Oryzias latipes: one gene and its partner. The protein of the gene in region 1 binds, or shares a complex with, the protein of each later gene. Links are inferred from orthologs where the notes say so. Each region holds a gene or a part of one and is shown on either strand. Other genes may lie near its edges. The genes, in order: dlat and pdk3.

Evidence for each region.
Region 2: the proteins of dlat (region 1) and pdk3 are in contact, whole or in part, in a crystal structure (PDB 1Y8N), measured with the Homo sapiens proteins. The link is inferred for Oryzias latipes from reciprocal best matches to the Homo sapiens genes DLAT and PDK3. Residues at the interface, in NP_001922.2 of Homo sapiens: Ala225, Leu226, Ser227, Pro228, Thr229, Glu248, Gly249, Lys259, Ala260, Ile262, Glu265; in NP_005382.1 of Homo sapiens: Arg21, Phe22, Ser23, Pro24, Ser25, Pro26, Leu27, Phe48, Lys51, Val55, Asn373, Lys374, Ser375, Arg378.

The regions. Positions count from the first base shown.
Region 1 is NC_019872.2:13,262,066-13,273,848, reverse strand, and holds the start of dlat (dihydrolipoyllysine-residue acetyltransferase component of pyruvate dehydrogenase complex, mitochondrial), read right to left. Parts: upstream 5,552-11,783; 5' UTR 5,408-5,551; coding exon 5,162-5,407; intron 4,349-5,161; exon of another isoform or gene 4,110-4,348; coding exon 4,008-4,109; intron 3,925-4,007; coding exon 3,800-3,924; exon of another isoform or gene 3,723-3,799; coding exon 3,563-3,722; intron 234-3,562; coding exon 107-233; intron 27-106; coding exon 1-26. Other genes in the region: dixin-like, read right to left, coding at 7,514-7,523, 7,596-7,675, 7,751-7,859, 7,934-8,030, 8,109-8,172, 8,342-8,488, 10,472-10,534, 10,611-10,682 and 5 more.
Region 2 is NC_019878.2:15,198,399-15,210,217, reverse strand, and holds the start of pdk3 (pyruvate dehydrogenase kinase, isozyme 3), read left to right. Parts: upstream 1-4,754; 5' UTR 4,755-5,029; coding exon 5,030-5,132; intron 5,133-7,410; coding exon 7,411-7,552; intron 7,553-7,656; coding exon 7,657-7,728; intron 7,729-8,797; coding exon 8,798-8,982; intron 8,983-9,064; coding exon 9,065-9,154; intron 9,155-10,134; coding exon 10,135-10,212; intron 10,213-10,303; coding exon 10,304-10,380; intron 10,381-10,706; coding exon 10,707-10,808; intron 10,809-10,894; coding exon 10,895-11,002; intron 11,003-11,111; coding exon 11,112-11,225; intron 11,226-11,819. UniProt on the Homo sapiens protein: Inhibits pyruvate dehydrogenase activity by phosphorylation of the E1 subunit PDHA1, and thereby regulates glucose metabolism and aerobic respiration. Can also phosphorylate PDHA2.

The DNA of each region.
Region 1 (11,783 bases):
ATATCCTTCTTCCTGGACCTCGAATCCTGCAGACAAACACACAGAGCATCAAGTCTGTGTCATGCTCACACTGGTCCATCTGCAGCCAGAGCCCGTTTGGGTTTACCGATGGTCGCTTTGTCGGTTTCAATCTCTGCAAGGAGATCTCCTTCACCGAGCTTCTCGCCGACCTTCTTCTCCCAGCGCTGCACCGTTCCCATCGTCATGGTGGGAGAAAGAGCAGGAAGTGCGACCTAAAAACCGCACAAAAAAACAATGTTTAAATGCGTTTCAACAAAAATTAACGAAATCACTGAAGCACCAAAAAAATAACTCCTGCCCTGATGGCTAACCCCCTCAGAAAGTGTGTCCCATCTGCACAAGGAAGAAGACTTTCCCTAAAAAATATCAGCTTTCTGATAAAACAATGAATCTACACAACTATTATTGTTGCCTCCCGGTAAGATACTTCACCATAGGCCTGCACGATTAACCGCAAATTTATCGTCATCGCAGTATCAGGCCAATGCGGTATGCATACCGCAAAAGGAGGCAAAATGGCGATAAGTCGCCTCCTAATAAGGTTACATAAAAGCTAAACTATCTCTTTGTAGTTTTAAGTAACGTATCAAATAAAGCCCTTTATGCATTCAACCAATGGTATGGAGCTCTTCGTGTCATTGCCCAATCAACTGGAGCCCCCTAATGTTAGATACCCGCCTTCTACATAGTGCTGGAGTATTAAAAAAAAAACTACGTACTTTTTTCATCCGACATTTGACCAAACAAGACTTGCAATGGCTAACAGCAATATCTCGGAGGACGTGCTCATGGCGAAAAAAAAAAGCATGTCGATTATTTGGAGGTACTTTGGTTTCAGGACGGGCGACGTTCTCCAAACACAGGTACTATGCAAAACATGCCGAACACCTGTGGCAACCACCCGAGGAAACACCAGCAATCTCCACCATCACCTTCAATACAACCACGAAGATCTGTTTAAAGAGTTCATGACATCTAGGGAGAGCAAAACACCTGCTAAGTCAGAGAAAAAAGAAGAGCTCGGCAGGCCAACAGACGTCCGTATTTCAGAGTTTTGCGAGTGGAACTCCTTATGAAAAAACTTCAAAGCGGTACAAAGAAATAACAGAGGCCATTTAACATTTTTTGGCAAAGTACATGATGCCAATAAACACAGTGAGCCGACAGGGCTTTGTCAATTTGATGGACAAAATGGACCGGAGATATCAAATCCCTTCACGAAATTACTTTTCACAAGTCGCCATTCCACAGATGTATGAGACGTGCCGCAAGACCGTTACGTCTGAATTGAGCCAAGCCGGATTTTTTACAAGTACCACAGACCTGTGGTCAAGCCGCACGACTGAACCCTATTTGAGTTTTACGGTGCATTTTCTCACTGCGGACTTTGAATTAAAAACGCGTTGTCTGGAGACCGTGTATTTCCCGGAGTCGCATACAAGTGAAAACATAGTGCACGTATTACTAGACGTGCTGGCAAGCTGGGAACTTGAAGAAGAGCGACAGGTGTGCATCACCACGGACAACGGTCCCAACGTCGTTAGAGCCACGGAGCTCAACAAGTGGGTCAGGCTTCAGTGTTTTGGACACAGGCTGCACCTTGCAATTGGTGAGTTTATTTAAGATGGATCTTTATGAAAAAAATATGTAAATTATTATCAAACTATTTTGAATAGCTCCAAGATGTTAAAATGACAGTATAATTCGAGAACATGCAAGTCGTGATTTAATTATTCACTTGTAATGACTTGTTATTCATTTTTAAATTATTATACATTTCTAATGTTTTTTTTTTTTTACAAACAGGTTTAATAATTAGTTATTTTTTTGTGTGTCTTCCTCTTATTCAAGAAAATTCCATCAAAGATGATGCCCGCATCGCTCGAGCCATTGGCCTTTGCAAAAAGCTAGTTGGACATTTTTGTCACAGCTGGAAAGCCAAGACTGCTGTGAAAAAAGCACAGAAGGATCACAACCTCCCTGAGCACACACTCGTCACTGAATGTCCAACAAGGTGGGGTAGCAGGCAGAAGATGATTGAGAGAGTCCTGGAGCAGCAGCGGGCCATTTCTGATGTTCTCTCAGCAGACAAGAAATCCAGGCATTTGATTCCTACTTGGCAGGATGTGGATGTACTGGAATCTGTCAACCAGGCATTACACCCCCTGCAAGACTTCACAGATGCTCTGTCAGGTGAGATCTATGTTAGTGTTTCATATGTGAAGCCAGTCCTCCACCTGATGAAGACATCAGTGCTCGCAGAGAAGGAAGCGGATGGTGATTTGACAAAATCAATCAAGAAAAAAATCCTTGACTACTTGATTACAAAATATGAAAATCCAGCTACCCAAGAACTTCTGGACATGGCGTGTTTCATGGATCCCAGATTCAAAGCCAGCTATATCAGCACTGATCAAGTCTCAAACATCAAGACCAGGGTGCTGTCAGAAATGGAAGCAGTGGCACAAAAGGTTATTCATGCATGCATGTTTTTTTCCAGAGATGTTTCTTTTGTCCAAAATCTTTTTTTTCCTCATGTTTTGCTTTTGTTTTAGGAGAGAAGCTCCACAGATGTAGAAGCCAAGACCAATGATCCACCCAGTGCTCCGCTGAAAAAGGCAAAAAAGTCACTGGGGAGTTTCTTCAAGACAAGCCCACTCCCCAGCTCATCTGTTGCGCAATTGTCACAAGCTGTAGAAGCTGAGCTTAATAGCTACCTGCTGTCTGCACCCCTAGACAGTGAAGAAGACCCCTTGGCATGGTGGAAACTCCACCAAATTACATTCTCACAGCTGAGCAAGCTTGCAAGGAAGTATCTCTGCATACCTGCAAGCAGCTCACCTTCAGAGAGACTTTTCAGTACATCAGGAAACATAGTAACATGTCAGCGCACATGTTTGAAACCAACAAAAGTAAACATGCTGGTTTTCCTTTCAAAGAACTTGCCATAATGACACATACTGATGCTGTCCTTTATAGTTCATACTAGGTCACGTTTAAGTTGTGGGCCTCTATCTTTTTTCTTCATTGTTCATTTATGTTTTGCCCACAGCTATAGGTCTTACCTTTTTCTCCTTTTTGAAAAAGACTTGGATTTTAAGTTATGTTGACTTATTTAATAACACTTGCAGTAAAATGGAAATGTAGGAGACACCAACTTATTTTATTCCTGGGCATCTATATATATTTTTTGTAATCATTCATCTTAGTTTTGGCAAGTTCTATGGTGAATATATTTTCTTCTTTTTGAATAAAACTTGCACGTTAATTTAAGTTGTGTTGAATTATTTGAATAAAACTCACACTGAAACCAAAATGTATTGGTATTTTTGCTTTTCTATTTTTCCATTTATCGCAAGTCATACCGTCATCGCAGTTTCAAACACTGATCTCGCATATCGCAGATTTTTCTAATATCGTGCAGGCCTACTTCACCATAAGCCAGTTTTGCAGGTAAACATCAAGACTACACCCTGAAACAAAAAAGAAAACCTTACAGCTCCGACTGTAATCAGAGTTCCTCCTGCAGGAGCACGCCTACCTTCAAGTGTGGCGGGTAGGAGCTGCCCGGCGCTGCGGGGGGTGGAGCAGCAGCGGTTGGAGGAGCAGGGGGAGGAGCTGAGGCTGCAGGGGGAGGAGCGGCGGCAGGGGATTTGAGAGAATCCAAAGACACGTCCTTAAAGGCTGCGATCATGTCTGGGCTGAGATGAAACACAGATAGGATCTTTTTTCCAGCAGAAGTCTCTCCTGCTCCCAAACCTTCATGACAAGCACCGACCTTTCCACGGTGATGCAGATCACTGATCCAACAGCAATGTCTCTGGTGCCTTCAGGAACCAGGATCTTCGCCAGGTAGCACTCATCCATTACTTCAAAACCTACAGTAGCTTTGTCCGTTTCCACCTACGGAAAGCGAGACAAGTGTTTTATTATTTAAAAAAAAAATAATCTGGGTGGATCTGGGAAATATTGTGCGCCCTTCAGACCTCGGCTATGAGCTCGCCCTCGCTGATCTTGTCCCCCTCCTTCTTCTCCCAGCGGGCGATGGTCCCCGTCTGCATGGTGGGCGACAGAGAAGGAAGCTCCACCTGCAACAAACAAACCCGAGAGGTCAGCGAAAGACGAGGAGGCTGCAGGAACGCCCACCACAGAAGAAGGAGGAAAAGAACTAGTCACTGGTTATGGTGTCAGCGTCCATCACACCACATCATACCACTCCGCTCAGTAAACACCAACGATTTCAACACAGCTGTGGACCTTTTGGAAGCAGCTGAGGTCAACAAACAGAAGCTTTGAGCTAAAGGTAAAAATAAAAGAAGCTTCCAAACATCCGCCATGAATCTGAGACACAAAAACAGCAGCGAGGGAGGAGATGGAGAAGATTTCTGCTTAAAAAAAGGTTATTCCTGATGATTGTGGCTCCTCAACTTTACTGAACAAATAGATACTTTTAGATTCATGTTTTAGTGTCTGAGAGACTATATTCTCCTGAATATGTGTGGAAGAAACAAACCTGTTGAGTAAATATATAAACCACTCTCAACTACTTCCTATTAAAATACCTTAATACTTTGGTCAAAAATTCTAAATTGATGCCATTTTGATTCATAACACTTTCAAGCTTTGCAGAATAACTTTTATCATAGTTAGAAAAGTTTCAATTTCTTAAATAAATAGCAAAAAATTGCAATAATGGAAAACTGGATTTGGTGTAATTGTTAATAATTTAATCTGATATAAAAGTCCAAAGCTATAATAATTGTGATCAAAACTTTTCAAATGTTTTTATTATTTCAATTTCAACAGCTAAGATTTTTTATTCAGAATGAAAAACTAATACAAGTAAAATATGGGGAATCGAACCAAATCCCTGCAGAACAACCATCTATTTCCTGGATCTGAGAAATGATTATTGGGTCGGGATGTAGCAGAACTTTACAGAACCTTCACAGAACCAAAAGTTGTTGTTCCATTCAGATATAGTAGAGGCCGAACCCTAAACACTTAGCCTTAAAGAGCATTTTTAACAATCTGTGGTTACTTCTGCGGGTTGGGAGCCTGTCACCTTCACCCAGCTGGGCTGCACCAGCAAAGCACGGTGAGCACCGGAGCCGCGTGACCCTGACGGTTCTAAGCTTACCTTGTTGTGTGGCGGCAGACTGTAGAACCGTGTGTTCGGGCCGGAACCCACCAGTTGGGAAGACCGTAGCAGGCCGGCTCTGTGACTGTAGACCAAGCCCAAGGCCGACGTTCGTGACCCGGCTCCGCAGTGTAGCCGCCTCTCACCGCTGCATCTGGGGCGGGAGCCAAGCGCGACAGGCCGGGCTGGCAGGACTCTGGGCCCGGAGCGACCACACGGCCGGAGCCGCAGCAACAGACGCAGCATGTCCACTCGAAGCGGAGGCCACACGGAACCAAAACAAAAGTGCCCGAGACTACGAAGGAGAAGAGACCTTCCCCGTTTTCTAATGACCTCCTCACACGACACTTTACGGCTCTCCTCCAAGGGTTGCCGTCACTGCGCTGGAGGTGTCGTAAACGCTACTTGTTTCGATTTCGACCAAGGAAAAACGTTTCAAACGTTATAAAAACAAAAAGGAAAGAACAAACAAAAATAAAATTTTAAAAAATATAATTTTATTCATAATACATTTTCCAAACGTTTAAATATGTTCAAATTGCAAATTAGTTTACTGCAGTCCTAAAAGTGTCCACACAGTGGCAGTATAGCAATATTTTTTTGATTCCTTCGCACACCCACAAATCAAACTTCTTCATAGAATAAATAAAAAATGAAATAAAATTAAACTTGACATTTTGAAAATGTCAACAAAATAAACATATAATTGACAGCTAAATAAAACAGTGCAGTCATGTATCCTACTATTTATGTCTAACATGTTACTTTTATAGTTTTTCAAAAATATTTATTTTGTGGGGATACTATTAAAGATAAAAATTAATTACTAAATTTTTGATAAGATGGCAGTGTTTTATGGCAAGGGGGAGACAGAAATAAAAATTATTTAAAGTCCTCTAAATATAAAACAGATTTTGAAGTTTCTGTCGGGATATGTATATTAAAGACCAATAAATTGTAAAGTATCGTCAAATTATGATTTAAAATATAGACTTTAAAAAAACCTGAAACACCCTTTGTTCTCCAACATCCCTTGGCAAAAAGTAGTCTACATAGTTGCACTACAAATAGTCTGTATTAAAAGTGAGACGGTGTACTTTTTTGTACAATATCTATTTTTTGTCAATGTTCCAATTGAATCTGAAAAAATATGAAGGTAGAACACTTCCTGCACTACATCTTCATGGTCTATAGTTTATTTGCTGTATTGATATCAAAGTATATTTAATAAAATAATCTTCAATTGGAATACTTTTTGCTGAGGACTCCTCTGCCCCTGATTTGACGATTGTACACTATTTGGTTACAAATTTAATAAAAAAACAACTACAACTAAACAATCTTTTTGAGTCCTGAAATTTAACAGATACACATTTCTGTGATATATATTTAATTATGTTTGAACATTTAACCAATTTAAAAACAACCTTGCCATTTCTGTGAATGTGCCCTTAAACTGGAGGTCAAACAGAAGTGGGAAACCTTAAGTTTATTTTATTTGTGCGGAAATCTTCATGTAAATGTAGATGGAAGCTCATCATTAAAATAAGGAAAACAGACATTTTCAAAAAGGACTCATTTATTTGAAAATATCTAACAAATCTTTTTTCGTAAACAGAAGGTAGGGATAGTTTTTAAATAAAAATACAAACCAGAAACCTGCAAAAGGCACTGCTGCCAGCTGGTTGCTGAAAAACGTACTGGTCTGCAGCGGCGACACTTGAGCAGAGCAGAAGAAATCCAGCGTGTCAGCCATCCACATATGTTTTTTATTATACACGCACGCAAACATACATACTTTAAACTGCTCTGAAACAGAAACCTCCAACATAAAAAAGATTTTTTTTTAGCAAATTACATAAAAAGTCCAATCAGTTTTGTTGAATATATGTTCAACAAAACAAGAACAAAAGTGCAACATTTCAAAATAAAAGATCCTCTTCCCTTCACAGACTAACTAATGGTCTGCAGATAGATGTGTAGACACAAACACCACTGTTAACCATTTGATTCTTGTTTTCTAACAGAACATTCCATTACAGACATTGTTTAAAAAAAACACTGTTTTCTTTTGTTCTGGAATAATAAAAAACACTTTATTTTAAAACTAAAATAAAAATGACCTGCTTTTTCCTAAAAGAATCGTGGATGCGAGACTGATGTCTACAAACAATGTTCAACATTCATTAAACTCAGAACACTGCTGGGGTTTTGATTGACAGGCAGAGCTCCGGTCATGAAGGCACTTGTGTAGAAAAGCACAGCGACTATCTGCAGCCCACAGGCCCATTTTGGGGTCGCTCCGATGTGCTTTGGCTCAGGAATCATGGGAGTTTGTCCTTTTCCCTGAAACTATAAAGGCCTGAGAGAAGAAGAAGTGATGAGACAACCAACAGAGGAGCCAGTGGAGAAAAGTAGAGAACCCCCTGCTTACCTGTCCTCCCCTCGCTCCTCCTCCAGCCACGCCACAATTTTCCCCTCCCACCCTGGAACAAGTGCTGCATCGTTGAAGACCTGCAAACAAACACATCTTTAAAAAAAAAAAAAAACTTAAAAACTCATCACTGCATGAAGCTGGATCTTCTCTACCTCCTCTTTTACTGTGCCAAACTCTGGGTCCAGAGCTTTAAAGTGATACCGGTAGTTTCCTTCTCGATCCACAGCTGCCTTAACATCCCTGAGAGTCACCTCGCCCAATCTGTCCAACAGGAAGTGGCTCATTTCACATAGACCATAATAGAAAGCACAAGAAGACAGATGTCAAACACCAACCTCTTGGGTATGTTGATCATTGAAGGAGTCATGGACTTCCCAGTAAAATAAAGGATTTTTGTGGAGGACGTCGAGCCGTTGTGGGACTTGAAAGTTTCTGAAATGAGCAGCAACACCACAGGGTTAGTCTGTGGGTTACACCTGAACACATCCTGGGCTTTTTGGTGCTCCTTACTCGTGGAAGGCCATGAGTCCAAGTGTGTGTGCTGATCTTTGCGTCGTGGAGATTTCCCTCTTTCCTGCAGAGGTTCATGAGGAAGCTCAGAGCTAAGAACATCTACTCCTCAACGAGAAAAAAATCTCCTGGAAAACCCCTTCAAACAACCCAAACCTTACAGCTGTTCTACTTAAAATAATTCAAATAATCCTAAAATTTAGCCATGACTGATGTGTTTGGCCTGTGCGTACCCTGTGCGTGTGCAGAGCGTGCAGTCGGTCCATGAGCGACACAATGCCCTGTTCCAGAGTGTCCAGGGTGTGCTGCTGAGGGTCGTGGTCCAAAAACTTGTTCCTCAGACTCCTCAGAGCATCTTGCATCAGTTGGACCTCCTCTGCCTGCCAGGAGGAGACAAAAACACGACAGATTTTTTTTTTTAAACCCCACGGTGAAGAACAAAAGAAACTTTTTCTGAGACTAAAAGAATACATCAGCGGTAAAAGTTCCTGTCTGATCATCTTTTGATCTATGGTAAAAATGTTCCCAGTGGTCTTTTTATTTTGATTATGTTGCTTTTAGCCAAACTCAAAAAACCTGTGTCATTTTCTAGGACTCTGTTTCTGCAGAGCGGCAGTAGTTCATTAGAAATTTGCCTTTGAGATGTGGGCAGGACCGTTGGCAGTAAGTGAGTAATTAAGTCCTTCGTCCTCTTTCAGTCCCTCTTACAGAGTGGAATAGGAAGCTGGTGGCCCACCCAGCATATTTTCTACATCTTTTTAAAAATGCATTTTTTTCTCTGCTCCTGCTTCACAATGATTTGAATAAAGAAATAATCGGAAAATGCAATTTTATGCTTAATGTTCTTTAGATGTCTTCCATCATCAGAAAAAGGACACAAAAACATTTTAAAAACACAAGAAAACTATTTTTTAATCAGATTGGGTCTTTAATGAGGAAAAAGAAGAGAAAAAAGACATGCAAATGCGTAAAATCTGGTGTATTCTGGGTCTGTTTACTGGAAAGATCCTATTCAAGTTAGACTGACTTAAATAATTGAAATTTTAACTTGTGTAGAAAGACTTCAGATGCTGAATCCGCTGATAGGAAGTCAAAGTATTTTAAATTTTCATTGTTTTCCCCTAAATTCATATCATGATGCATTTACTGTGGATAGGAAGTGAGCCACCACTCTAAAAGAAGGAACATCCTGCTGCAGAAGGGGTGGGGCTAACCATCAGACCACACCCCTTACAAAGTATTGACTGTAGTATATGAGACTATACTATACTATATATAGTATATGAGAACTGGACCAAGTGAGTGTGATGTCATCCACAGAAAATATTTTACCTCTGGCTTCAATTAAATGAAGCCAATTCAGTGGCCATTATTTGCGCAATACGGACATCGATGTTGGAGCCAGAAATCATCAGTAAGCAGTGATTGATCCAAGTCGGTCTGGGTCATTGTTTCTATGGCAACCATTCTCACCTATCAGAAATGGCTTGTTGGAAGTCCACCTGAAAGCAGGCTCAGGAGAATCTGTCAATTAAATGTTCTAAACGTTTCACATGAGACCACCTACTTCCATTGAGGCATCTGATTGGCCAGTTTCTAACTACACTACAGATAAAAATATAAAAAATTAGATTATCAAAAATGGTTATTCAGACAATAGTAGGGCTACATGATAAGAGGAAAATTCACGATTTGCCATATTAGTGATCAATCTGGCGATACATGAATAAACAGCAAAACAACCAAAAACATCATTTCCATTTCACTGCAACAGTTTAAATTAGAGTCAACAGTTTAATTTAAATTAGAGTCAGCATAATTTAAATTATACTCCAAATGACTTTCGTCTACATAGGAGGTGAACATCTAACATAAGGGCTCCATCCGATTGGTCAAATGCATGAAGGGATTTATTTGATTCGTTAAATACCTCAAGCAGCCTTAAGATGGTTTTAGCACATTTAAGGTAACCCTTTAGTGCAATTTTTGGTGTCTTTTGAGATATGCATATTGCACAGCTTGATATTGATAATTGATAACTGTAAATTTGCGATTCATTGTGCAGGCATTAACAGTATAATGTCTGAATAATAGATGTTTTTTTAATAGAATCTATGGGATTCTGGCTTCTTGAAACCAGCAGGTACTTCCTGTTTGAAACACAAGAGGGGAGGAGTCACTCAGTCCAGTTCTCTTGTACAGTCAATGCTACAAACCTGCTGTTTTCAGCAATTCATCAGCAGGTGACACTAGGTCCAACAGGCTCCTTTTTCATTCATAAACTGCTCTTCTCTCCAAACATGAAAGTGGATTTTGAAGGTTTACAGAAGACGCTGCCCTTTTTAAGGTGGAACAACACTTACGCCTGACACATGAGCGGAGCTTCCACAGTGAGAATATCCATTGTTTTCCGGGTTGATGGGGATCTGGCGGAAAAAGGAGGAAAATGTGAGCCGAGTGTCCCTAATCTGTGTTTTTGTACCCACAAACAGACTCACACACCTGCTGGAGGTTTCCAGACATCAGCTCCTGTAGAACGCCGCCTTTATGCTCCAACTGTTTCTGCAACTCTGTCTGTTAAAGAAAGCACAGCTGCTCGTCAAAACTCACATGAATACAACAGTTAACTTTGAGACAACACACCTGCAGTTTTCTGCTTTCTTCCAGCTTCTGCTTGAGCTGCTGAAGCAGTTTGTCCTTCTGTCCGATGTCCTTCTGCATCCCAGCAGCCAGAGAAATCACATTATTAAGTCAAACTGACAGGATCAGAAGGATTCAGCCACACGGTTAAAATAGACCTATCACCTTGCACTCGCTCCACAGCCTGTTGCTTTCCTCCAGCTTCCACTGCAGCCCTGCCTGCAGCAGAGGACAGGACACCAGAGTCGGTGTTAAATTACAACACAAAGAACCCTTCTGAACACATTTCTGAGCTAAAAACACACAAATTCATGAAAAAAAAAGATCTTTTTGGGGGGGTACGTTTTGGTTGCCGAGTTCCTCCTTCAGCATACTGGCTCTGAGGAGCTCCTGCTTCATCTGCAGGATCGATGCCTCCTGAGTGCACAGCCTCTGCTGCTGGGCGTCCTGCATGTCAGCAACACACACAGAGCTTCAGCTTCATCGGCATCACCTGGAAATTTGAGGCCGCAGGATGTCTTACCTTGACTGCCTGCAGGTTTCGCACCTCCTGCTTACAGCGCAACAGCTCCCTCTAAAACAGGCAAACGAGCCAAGGGTCACTTGTCAACACTACAGAAGTCTTCCTCGGTTTATGCAACGTTTCTCTTAAGTCTGAAAGGGTTACCTTCAGCTCTCGGACCTCCTCCATGCTCTGATCCAAATGGCTGCGAACAACAACCTCAAAAAAAAAAAAAAAGAGAGGTTGTGTGAGAGCCACAATGGAGGGAGGATAAAGGGAAATTGATACCCATGGAAGACGCACGCACCCAGACTCAGTGAAAGCAATGTGGGGCGGACATAAATAAAAGAAAAAACAACCAGGCAAATAGAAAGTGTAAGTGACGGTGGTTCAAAGACATTACCCCTACCTGGCGCCCCTCTTTTCACCCGACCTCACTAGCCAAGCGGCTGCAGAGAGCCCCATTGCTCTCCCCTTCAGCTCCTGCTCCCCCTAGTCAAAGCTGTACTTGTCAAATTCATTACAAAAAAAAC
Region 2 (11,819 bases), on another chromosome or scaffold:
CATCTGCACATCAGTTAGAAAAAGAAAGAAAGAAAGAAAGAAAGAAAGAAAGAAAGAAAGAAAGAAAGAAAGAAAGAAAGAAAGAAAGAAAGAAAGAAAGAAAGAAAGAAAGACAGGATCAGTCAGGACATTTTTTTTCCAAACAACAAACTGTACGTTCATATTCATTCATTTATAGCCGGCTGAAGGCAGCAGGAAGGAAGGCTGAAACCCCCCCGCTGATTACAAACAGACATAATGAACTGATTTATATCACCACTAGATGACTGAAGCTCAACAGGATTTATGGCCATGGCTCTTATTAAGTTTATGTGTTTCAAAGCATGTAATAGTTTTAGTCTTTCAAATGTAAATCATATCTTCTCTGCACTTCGAAAGAACAGCCAAGAGGAGCAAAATGAAAGGAAATGTCAAAATGAACTTTCACTTTCCTGTTATGCAGCTTTTGAAACATTAAGGAATTTTGCACCTTTAAGTTTTTGACATCTCTTGTTTTGTTTTTCCAAATACCTTGTTCCATTTGGCGCCTTTAAGTCATCATGTGTGTTTTGACTATACCTGGTTTGAGTTTTGTTGCTTTTTGCTGTGTTTAACTTCATACACCTGTTTCCCATAATACCTCGTTCTCTCTGTGTTTTTTTACTTCCTGAATTTTTCTGTTCCCAGTGAACACATGCTTGTGGATTTGCCTTTTTGTGTGAGGGTGTTCTCAATTTACATATAAGAATTTCCGTATCTGGACTGACTGATGCAGTAGCTCCCGTTCAGATGTCATTTGGATTGATCCTGTGGGATTTGTTGTACCTCACTTTGCATTCTTTGTGCATTTCTGACACTTTTAGATCCACATTGAGTTGTTTTTTTAAAAAAGCTATACCGTGCTTGAGCTGTCTTAAAACGTGAAATAACTTTTTTTAATGGTCTGGTCTGGTTATTTGTCCACAAACAAAACCTAAATTGGGAGGAGAAGCCTTAGAGTAAAATGTTAGTCACACAAAAGAATTTGCGTTTAAAATTAATATAGTTTTACTTTGAGCAAATAGCAATAAAAAACTTTTTTTACTGCTTCAATTACTGTTTTACTCAATTTCCTAAAACTCCATGTCACACAGTCTCAATGTAAATTTTGCTGGGATGAGAATTGGTCACACGTGAGTAAATGTGGAAAAAGTGAGAAAAGTTGTGGTCTTTGTGTAAAATTTTCGCCGATGTATCACCAATGAACCACGTTAAAACCACAGATGAAGTACGAATAAACCACGCAAAGAACCCGAAAATCAACGTAGAACATGAACCGTGCAGGATTATTCCGCTGTTTACATGCAATTCATAGTGATTGGTACATCAACAATGTATTTTTAATGTGATCTTCCAAAAATCCCACACAGTTGCGTAAAATTTACGTAATAATGCGTGTAAACTTCAATAAATACGCGTGCGCTGCGTAATTCTCAACCGACCCAAAATTTTGAACAGCTCAAAACTAAATTCACGTAAAGATCAGTCGGCCGAAACCCTCGACGGACATCACATCAACAAATGATGAAAGCAAGAAACCCACGATTTACATATATCACGCATGTTTCATGAAAGACCAAAATTCATGTGTGGGAAAAAGAGCAAAATGTACGTAGTGACCTTGTGACATGGCCTTCACAGGTTTTTGAGCAAAGGATCTCATGCTCATCTGAATTTCTAAGACCGTATCTTAATTTCTGCAGAGCAGTACACCCCCGAGTTCCTGCCTTTTGCTTCATTTTATATTTTTGAAACATATTGACATTCAGTTGAAATTATTTCTTTTATGAAAAAAAGAAAAACATTGTTTTTTTGAGTTAAGATCTTTACCAGTTTGCCTTTTTTGAATTTTTTACTGTGGCCCATTTACTATGTTTGTGTTTAAGTATTATTCAAGGAACAACGTGAAATTTAAATGTACAACTTGGTTTCACATTCTTATTTGATACTGAATAAAAAAAACGTTGCTTGATATTTGTGATCAGAGCAAAATCCCAAAACTCTTCCACCGAATTTGAATTTATTTTAATCTATTGCAGCAGATTTGTTAGTGATGCAATTAAAAAAAAGCATAGTTGCTACATCTGTTTTTTTCTTTTATTAAAAACAAAATCAGACTAATAATTTGAAAAAGGACAATTACTTTAGTTTATAGTTAAAGTTAGGAAAATACTTTTAACTCTTGGTTTTTGTCGTTAGAAATCAGATCTAAAATTATGTCACTTTTTGTGCAGGTAGATAAGGTTTCTTTTCACAGTGAAAACCTAAAGGCAATCTGCTAATACCCCACCGGCCAATCAGTAAATCACCACCAGATGGCAGTAGAGACAAGAACGAGAATGAAGTACAATTGAAACGTTTATGCATTTTTACCAACAGCGCTCCTTTAAAGGTCAGCACTCGACACAACGCATCGTTCCTGACAACACTTTAGGAACCGTTTTAAAGGTTTAAAGTAAAGTTTAATCGCATCATCTACGCAGACCGCAATAAACAAACAAGGAAACGTAAATGATGGTGACTGACGCGCCTCCGACCAATTGGAGTGCTGCTTTCAGCCACTTCCCAGCTCTAAGCCAATCAAAATAGTGGTGGAATAAGCCCCCGCCTTTGCGGTTGAGACGACGTTTCTCCTTTAAGTACGTGCTGCCTGAAGCGCCTTCAACAGACCGGATGCTCGTCAAGTGAACCTTCAAAATTAAAGGAAAAAGCAAACAAACTCTATAAGGTCTTCCTAGAGATACTAAACAGTTGTTTAGAAGTACAGTAATGTAAAATATAATGCTGACCATTACGTTAAAACTTTTTCTCACACTTTTACAAGCCATTTTTTTCTTTTTGTAAACGTTTAAAATATTTTCGGGTTGGGTTAGGGATTAAAGATTTTATAAAGGGCTAAGGCTATTTTAAAACATTTTTATTTCGATGTTTTCACAATTTAGTTGGGGTTGCATATTGGAATATATATATACACAGTACACACCAAATGTTTAGACACACCTTATTCAAAGAGTTTTCTTTATTTTCATGACCATGAAAATTGCAGATTCACACTGAAGGCATCAAAACTGAATCAACACATGAAGAATCATGTACATAACGACTGAAAATATGTCATATTGTAGGTTCTTTACGGTAGCCACCTTTTGCTTTGATTACTGCTTTGCACACTCTTGGCATTCTCTTCATGAGCTTCAAGAGGTAGTCACCTAAAATGGTCTTCCAACAGTCTTGAAGGAGTTCACAGAGATGTGGTCCACCTCACCCCAAACCCAAACTGGGTTCAGGTCCGGTGACTGTGACGGCCAGGTCATCTGGCGCAGCACCCCATCACTCACCTTCTTGGTCAGATAGCCCTTACACAGCCTGGAGGTGTGTTTGGGGTCGTTGTCCTGCTGAAAAATAAATTATGGTCCAACTAAACACAAACCGGATGGAATAGCTAGTCGCTGCAAGATGTTGTGGTAGCCATGCTGGTTCAGTATGACTTCAATTTGGAATAAATCCCCAACAGTGTCAACAGCAAAGCACCCCCACACCATCACACCTCCTCCTCCATGCTTCACGGTGGGAACCAGGCATGTAGAGTCCATGCATTCACCTTTTCTGAGTCGCACAAAGACACAATGGGTGGAACTAAAAATCTCCAATTTGGACTCATCAGACCAAAGCACAGATTTCCACTTGTTTAATGTCCATTCCTTGTGTTCTTTAGCACAAACAAGTCTTTTCTGCTTGTTGCCTTTCTTTAGCAGTGGTTTCCAAGCAGAAATTCTACCATGAAGGCCTGATTCACACAGTCTCCTTTTCACAGTTGTTGCAGAGATGTGTCTGCTGCTAGAACTCTGTGTGCCATTGACCTGCTCTCTGATCTAAGCTGCTGTTAACCTGCCATTTCTGAGGCTGGTGACTCGGATGAACTTATCCTCAGCAGCAGAGGTGACTCTTGGTCTACATTTCCTGGGGCGGTCCACATGTGAGACAGTTTCTTTGTAGCACTTGATGGTTTTTGTGATTGCACTTGGGGACACTTTCAAAGTTTTCCTATATTTTCAGACTGACTGACCTTCATTTCTTAAAGTAATGATGGCCACTCGTTTTTCTGTACTTAGCTGCTTGTTTCTTGCTGTAGTACAAATTCTAACAGTCCATTCAGTAGGACTATCAGCTGTGTATCCACCCGACTTCTGCAAAACACAACTGATGGTCCCAACCCCATTTATAAGGCAAGAAATCCCACTTATTAAACCTGACAGGGCACACCTGTGAAGTGAAAAACATTTCAGGTGACCACCTCTAGAAGCTCATCAGGAGAAAGCCAAGAGTGTGCAAAGCAGTGATCAAAGCAAAAGGTGGCTACTTTGAAGAACCTAGAATATGACATATTTTCAGTTGTTTCACACTTTTTTGTTATGTATGATTCTTCATGTGTTAATTCAGTTTTGATGCCTTCAGTGTGAATCTACAATTTTCATGGTCATGAAAATAAAGATAACTCTTTGAATGAGAAAGTATGTCCAAACCTTTGGTATGTACTGTGTACATATGTATAGATAGATAGATAGATAGATAGATAGATAGATAGATAGATAGATAGATAGATAGATAGATAGATAGATAGATAGATAGATAGATAGATAATGGTATTTTTTTAAATGTACAAGTATTTAAATGATCAAATAAACAGGTCCTCGGACATTATTTTCAACAGTTTTATTTTGAAAAGCCACAAAGGAAGTGTTCATTCGTCCCGTCGTTTGCGTTAACGTCAAGGAGCTGATCTGAACATCCACAAATGTAGATCCAGGAAGCTGAATTGGAAGCGTTCGTGTCGGGTCTCGTAACCGTATGGACCTCACCGCATCGCGCCTTTCCGAACCCGGGTCGGAGGACGGAAATGCGGACAGAGAGAGAAGAGGACTGCCGCTGTCACCGGCGGTGAAATGCTCTCATTTGTCCTGAGCCAGCCTCTGACGTCACAGCCAGACAACATCATCGTTAAACTTTCAAAATGAGGCTCTTTCTGTCTCTGCTCAAAAATGCCCACCCGAAAATCGAGTACTACTCCCGCTATTCCCCATCGCCGCTCTCCATCAAGCAGTTTTTGGATTTCGGTGAGTAGAAACCCAACATGTCCTGTTATGAATGGCCTTATGACCTCATTCCACTGTTTGCTGATGAATTTTGCAGTGAATTGTGTTTTATTATCAATAGTAAAGGTGTGAAATATAATTTTCTGTGTAGATCAGGTTGAATTCCCACTTCCATGGGAGGTCATGTCATGTCTGTATCCTTATCACCTGTTTATTAATGGAACATGTGCAGGCACACCTGAGCACTCCCAGGTGACAACACCGCTCACTCATCCTGACACCTTCCTTTTTGTGCCAAGATCTGACTCCTTACACTCCTTAGATTAGCTTGATGGTTATTTAGGACACATGAAAACTGGAGGGTCGGTTGTGTTATAACCCCTAAGATGACAGCAGTTAACTGAGTTTCTGTGCTGCATTCAGGGATTTCTTAATCCGTGATTATGTCATTTGTCCTCACAGCTGGAGATGGGATGTGAGCAACAGGAAGAACACTTGTGGAGTGGGGGATTACACTTGTTCATGATGACACAGAAGACGTTTTAAACGTTGAGATGTCACAGCTTCAGTGTTTTCACTCTTTACTTTCACTTTTTCATAAAAAAAAGTATCAAAAAAATCTGCTGGGTTTATTGAATGTATTTGAGAACTAGACTGAGTGACCCGTTCCCCCTGCGTTTCAAACAGGAAGTACCTGCTGGCTCCAAAAAGCCAAAATCCCAAAGATTTCTGTTGAGAAATAAACAGCTATTACTCAGTTATTATATTTTTACCCTTTTTTATGTGTTCCCACTAATCCTACTATTCGTGATATTTCTTTCTGTAGTTCAAGTTATTCAAGGTATAAACCGACCAATCATATGCCTCAATAAAAGGATATCCAAAGTGTTTCATTGTTAAACACTTCTGATCCTGCTTTGAAGCGGTAAGCTACGTTCACGCCGCCCTTGGCAACGCGGGCTCAAGTGACCACTTCCAATGGAAAGTCTAGGTAATTTCCAGGTTTCGGGCTATAGCGTTCAAAACTCTCCTGTTCTCGCATAGCTACACAAGTTTCCACAACCGTTTTTTGGCTTTAAATATATAATGCCATTGAGCCCACGTTGAAAGTTAAAGCGGGTTGAACTTTGACCAATCAGGGACTTGGATTAGGTAGTAACATATGCTTGATGTCCTCTTAAATTAACGGAAGTGTTCACCGTTTGGAGGCGAAATCAATAATTGTGGTTTGTGCTCAGACAGAATTATGACACCAAGTCTTTTGTACACTGGAATAGAGCCGTGAAAGAAAAAGCCTGGAGCAAGATTTGCGAGATTTGCTCCACTTTAACGTAGGTGGCGGACAAGCGCTAGTGCCTTCAAGAACGCATGTTTAGCAGTCGATGGCTGGGCTGTAAAACGTCTGAGCAGTTATCTCTCTTTCAACTCTGACATGGTTTCTCTTTCACCAGGAGATCTTAAAAGCAGACATCTCTGACTTGTGAGTCACTTTCTTATCTGATTGGAGTTATCAGTTCCATGACAATCCTCCCAACTGAGTCGACATGATAGAGGTATAAAAATAGGCATTAGTAACAAATACCAAACAATAATGTACTCAATTCGTTTAGCACCGTTTAAAGTTTGTGTCTCTTTACAGGGCCGATAATAGGAAAAATCTACTTATTGAGCTTTTAAGTCATTATAATGTTAATTCCTCGCTATGAACAGCCCCAGAGAGGTATTTTTATCCGTTCTCGCATCTCTGAGTATTCCTCTAAAAACCTGCTCTCTGAGCCCCTATCCAATCAACCCAATCCACAAAAATGAGGGGGGGTTCTCACATTGTGACATCACAAAGTTAGGAGCAGCCCCTTCCAGGAAGAGTCTGTGCTGCCAGCACCGCCCCCAGGCTAACACACACTCCTCGGGGCTAGCGGTGATTGGCTAAACACTCTCGCTTTATATGTACAATATGCACATCTATCTTTTGCAAAAGTTCGGATGGCAAACACGCTGTCGAGGCCGACTCTAGGTTGACATCATGAAATAGGCGCCGCCCACTTGGAGTGTCGCAAAGATTGAGTCGTCTGACTTCCGGGTAGGAAAATGATGATGAAACTGATGATGAAGGAAGATTCTAAGACTAAACTGGAACTAAACTGTAAGGATGTTTACTATTGTTGTTAGGAGAATCGTCTTTTTTTTTTTTTTTAGAAGAGAAGTTTCAACTTTTCAAAAATGTTATTGCCAAAATAATCAGTTTTGAGGTAAAAAAGAAAATCTCTAAAATCCCAATAAAACTTTTTTTCTTGGTTAGGAAGGGATAATGCATGTGAAAAAACCTCCTACGTGTTTCTGCGGAAGGAGCTGCCGGTGCGGTTGGCCAACACCATGAGAGAGGTTAACCTGCTGCCTGATAAACTGCTGAGTCAGCCCTCCGTCAGGTTGGTCCAGAAATGGTAAGGAGTTTCTTTTTTTTGCTTTGCTTGTTTGGCTGCCCTAAGATAAGGTGTTCTAATGGCTTTGTTGGGAGTTGACCTTTAGTCTGTGTTTTCTTTGTTAGGTACATGCAGAGTTTTGTGGAGCTGCTGGACTATGAGAACAGGAAGCCAGAGGATCCTCACACTCTGAATGAGTGAGTGAAATCTTGTGGTTAAAAACAATTGAGATGCAGGAGTAGCAAGCTCAGGCTTGTTAAGACAAACCTCACACGTAACACTCTGTGTTATTACCTCAACAAAAGTCTGTCATGCACAGCCAACAAACACAGACAGGAATTTGACGGAGCGTGTCTGCTCTGCTAACACTCCAGGCTGTCGAGGTTGCTGGCTTTGAGGCAGACTTACTCATGTTAGAACTTTCTAATCAGCATGACTTGGTGTTTAAAAAAAAAAAAGAGTAGTAAAATAACAGAAAGACTTTGGATCGGAAAAAAATTGAAAAGATGCAACATATGTACGTACGACAGAGTATTAGACCCAGCATAAAAGAAGAAAAAACAACAAACATATGAGAAAAAAGTCATAAAATTCTGAGAAAATTAAGAATTAAGTCATACAAATATGAGAAAAGAGTCTAAATTTTATGAAAATAAAGTTGTACATTTTTAATTAAAAAAGAAGCAATTATAAGACAAGGAATTCGTACAAATATAAGAAAAAAGTAAATTTATAAGTAGTACATTTTTGGGGGAAAAGGAGGGGAAAAAAAGTCAATACTAAAGTTTTAAAATAGGTAAAAATGTCACAAGATAAGTAATTGTAAATGTACATTCTAAAAAGTCATAATTTTACAAGGAAAAAATTGTGCCTTTTGGAACATAAATTTCTGCATTTAGCTTTTATAATGTTTCATCTGACATTTAAACATTACCTGTTTAAATTCATGTTGCAGACCACTCAGAGAAGCTGGAAAAACTCGCTGAATCCTCTATACTTTTGTTTTTTGTAAATATACAACTTTATTTACATCAAATTACAACTGTATTTTCAAAAAAACAACAAATTAACAAAATTTGAAATGATAAATTTACAATTTTATTCTATATTATTTGAATATAGAATTTGTTCTTGTATATTTATTTATTTTTTCACATAGTGGCCTTAATACTCCATTTGAGGCAAATGATAATTTGGTCATTTTTAATGTTTTTTTTATGTTAATTGATTTATTTAAAAAATTGTATATCTTTTTTTCTTTATTAGCTTCCTTGAGGTCCTAATCGAGATCCGGAACCGGCACAACGATGTGGTTCCCACCATGGCTCAGGGAGTCATAGAGTACAAGGAGAAGTTTGGCTTCGACCCCTTTGTCAGCAGCAACATCCAGTATTTTCTCGACCGCTTTTACACCAACCGCATTTCTTTTCGCATGCTGATCAACCAGCACAGTGAGTCTGACAAATGCCGCCGCGGTTCTCCATTGGGATCACCGCCTCTGAACTTTGGCGTCTGTGTTCTGTTCTTACCCAGCACTCCTGTTTGGTAACGACACCAACCCAGCCCATCCGAAGCACATTGGCAGCATCGATCCAACCTGCAATGTCGCCGAAGTTGTGAAGGGTGAGTTTAATTCCAACTCTGCAACTGCAACTTCTTTTTTATTTAGGTGTAGAAAAAAAAATGCTTTGATTTCTTTATTTCAGCAGTGTTTATGTTCCTGCATGCTTATGCTGTATAAGCATTGACTCACATAAGGTCCCAATTATGTTTTTTTGTTGTTTTGTTACGTTTATTGTCTTACTAGAGCCGTCTTTATGAATGTTAACTGGAAAAACTGAAGCTAAAGAGCTACTTCACTGACTCTGTGGGCCTCTTAAATGCTTTCCAGATGTGCTGGAGCAAACGCTGAAGCTCAACGTGGAGCCGATTACCCACCGAGAATATCAAAAACTCCAAAAATCGACATTTTCTAACTAAGAAAATAATTCATTTAAGTGATAAAGTGGAAGTTTTGAACAAATACTCCTCCAGTTTTTAAGGAACTTTTCCAGAATGCTATAATAAGACCTTTTGCCACGCATGTGCCGCAATAAAACTCTCCCCTACCGAGTTTCACATTTTGTAAAGGTTTTAACCAATTTTATTGGAATACTTTTTCAAACCGCTTAAAAGTTTTCCTTAGTAAATTCATCAGACATTTATGCTCGTAAATTTTTAACTTCAAAGAAAATATGTGTCTTTGAGTTTAGAGTTAAAAGCTCCTTCCATAAAATACTGGTCTGAAGGATCAGGGATCAGGCAGAACAAATGAACGTGTTTTCCTCCCACTGTCAAACTGCTTCTGTGTTCTGGACTGTTTGTTTTCCCATCCAAGCTTCTATGCAAATGTCTCTGTTCCGTGCATTTCTGGGAAATTGGAGATGAATTGTTTCCTTAGTCGGACATCAGAAGCCTAAAGGCGGCGGGGATCTGAAGCTGCACTGTGAATGACCTCTTAAGGAGCAGAAGATGCTTTAGTAAACAGTGTCAGAAACCCAAACATAAGCACTGAACCTATTCACCTTTCTGTGTTATTGGTAATGCTTTCCCTTTTCCACCAGATGCCTATGACACTGCCAAGATGCTGTGTGAGAAGTACTACTTCGCAGCTCCAGAGCTCAAGATCGAGGAGTTTAACAGTAAGTGTGGTTATGTGCAGGAATCCAGACATTTTCCCCCACTAATCTGCCTCTCAGTGGAAAAGTTTAAACTCAAATGTTTATTCTCCAGTGAAGGCTCCTAATAAGCCCATCCAGGTGGTGTATGTCCCCTCTCACCTGTTCCACATGCTGTTTGAGCTCTTCAAGGTGAGCAGTTGATCCACTGAAAGCAGATTGTTTGAATGAGAATGTTGTTTTTAACATGTTCTGGTGGTATTTTTCTCATGATGGAGGACATATATAAAGAAATTTAAGCTCTTTGAAAAAGCTTGCGGTCCTAATGAACTACCGCAGCTCTGCAGAAACTGAGAAAATTAGATAGATTCTTTTTTTCAATTTTGGCTAAAAATGGGAGAATCATGATTAAAGGACCGCTGGAAACGCTTTTAGAGAGCTCAAAAGATGATCGAAGTGGAACTTCAAGGGTCCTTGGTGGTCCTTGGTGATGAATGAAATCTGGGGTTGTTCTGCAGAATTCAATGAGGGCGACGGTGGAACTCCATGAGAACAGTGCAGAGGGATTACCCCCTGTGAAAACCAGAGTCACTTTGGGTAAAGAGGATCTCTCTGTAAAGGTAAATGGACACGATGTATTTGACACGTTTGAGGTTAAATTAAGGAAGATTGACTTTAGCTAAGTTTTTTCATCGTGTTCCTTAAGATCAGCGATAAAGGAGGAGGAGTACCTCTGAGGAAGATCGATCGTCTGTTTAACTACATGTACTCCACTGCCCCGACACCAAGCCTCGAGCCGGGAGCTGTACCACTGGTACACACTGGCTAACTCAAATTAGCCTTCAGACAAAAGCCACTTTAGCGGCAACGTTCTTTTAAGAACCGAATGACACAGGGCTTTTGTGTCTTCCTTTGTGTCACAGGCTGGTTTTGGCTATGGCTTACCGATCTCTAGACTCTATGCTCGGTACTTTCAGGGTGATCTGAAGCTCTACTCCATGGAGGGAGTTGGCACCGATGCTGTCATCTATCTGAAGGTAACACGAGTCAGCCGCATGCAAAGTCCTGACCTGTTTCAGCTTGGAAAGTGAGACTCAGCCTCTTCTGAGTTTTAATAAGTAGAATAATAATAATAGAAAACATTAGAATAAAGCAGCATCTTTACTTTAATACCATCCTTTATTCTAAATCAAGCTTTAAAAACATAAGAAAATGTCTTTTTTAGCCAAACACAAAATGACAAGTTGTGAATGTGGTCAGGAAAAATGACTACCACAGACTACATGTTTGGAGAGGGAAAGACTGAGTGTAAACTTTAAATCTTAAAAACAAATGCTTTAAAACAATTGGTACTCAAGAGAGGCTAGCTATCCAACATTTCTGATTCAATTAGAGTCTTTAAAAAAAAAAAGTCCTAAAAAAGGATTTTAGCTGATGGTCTTCCTCAAAATAACAAACTTTAAAAAAATTATTTTACAGTAAAATTCACAGTGACCCTGTAGGATCTATCTAATCTAGATCTTTCCTCGTCGTGACTATTTTATGCAATCACTGTACTTTTGACAAATTCAATATTTATCATAGATTAAATACCGTGCATTCAAAAATTGTTTGGTATGAAAGAATACCAA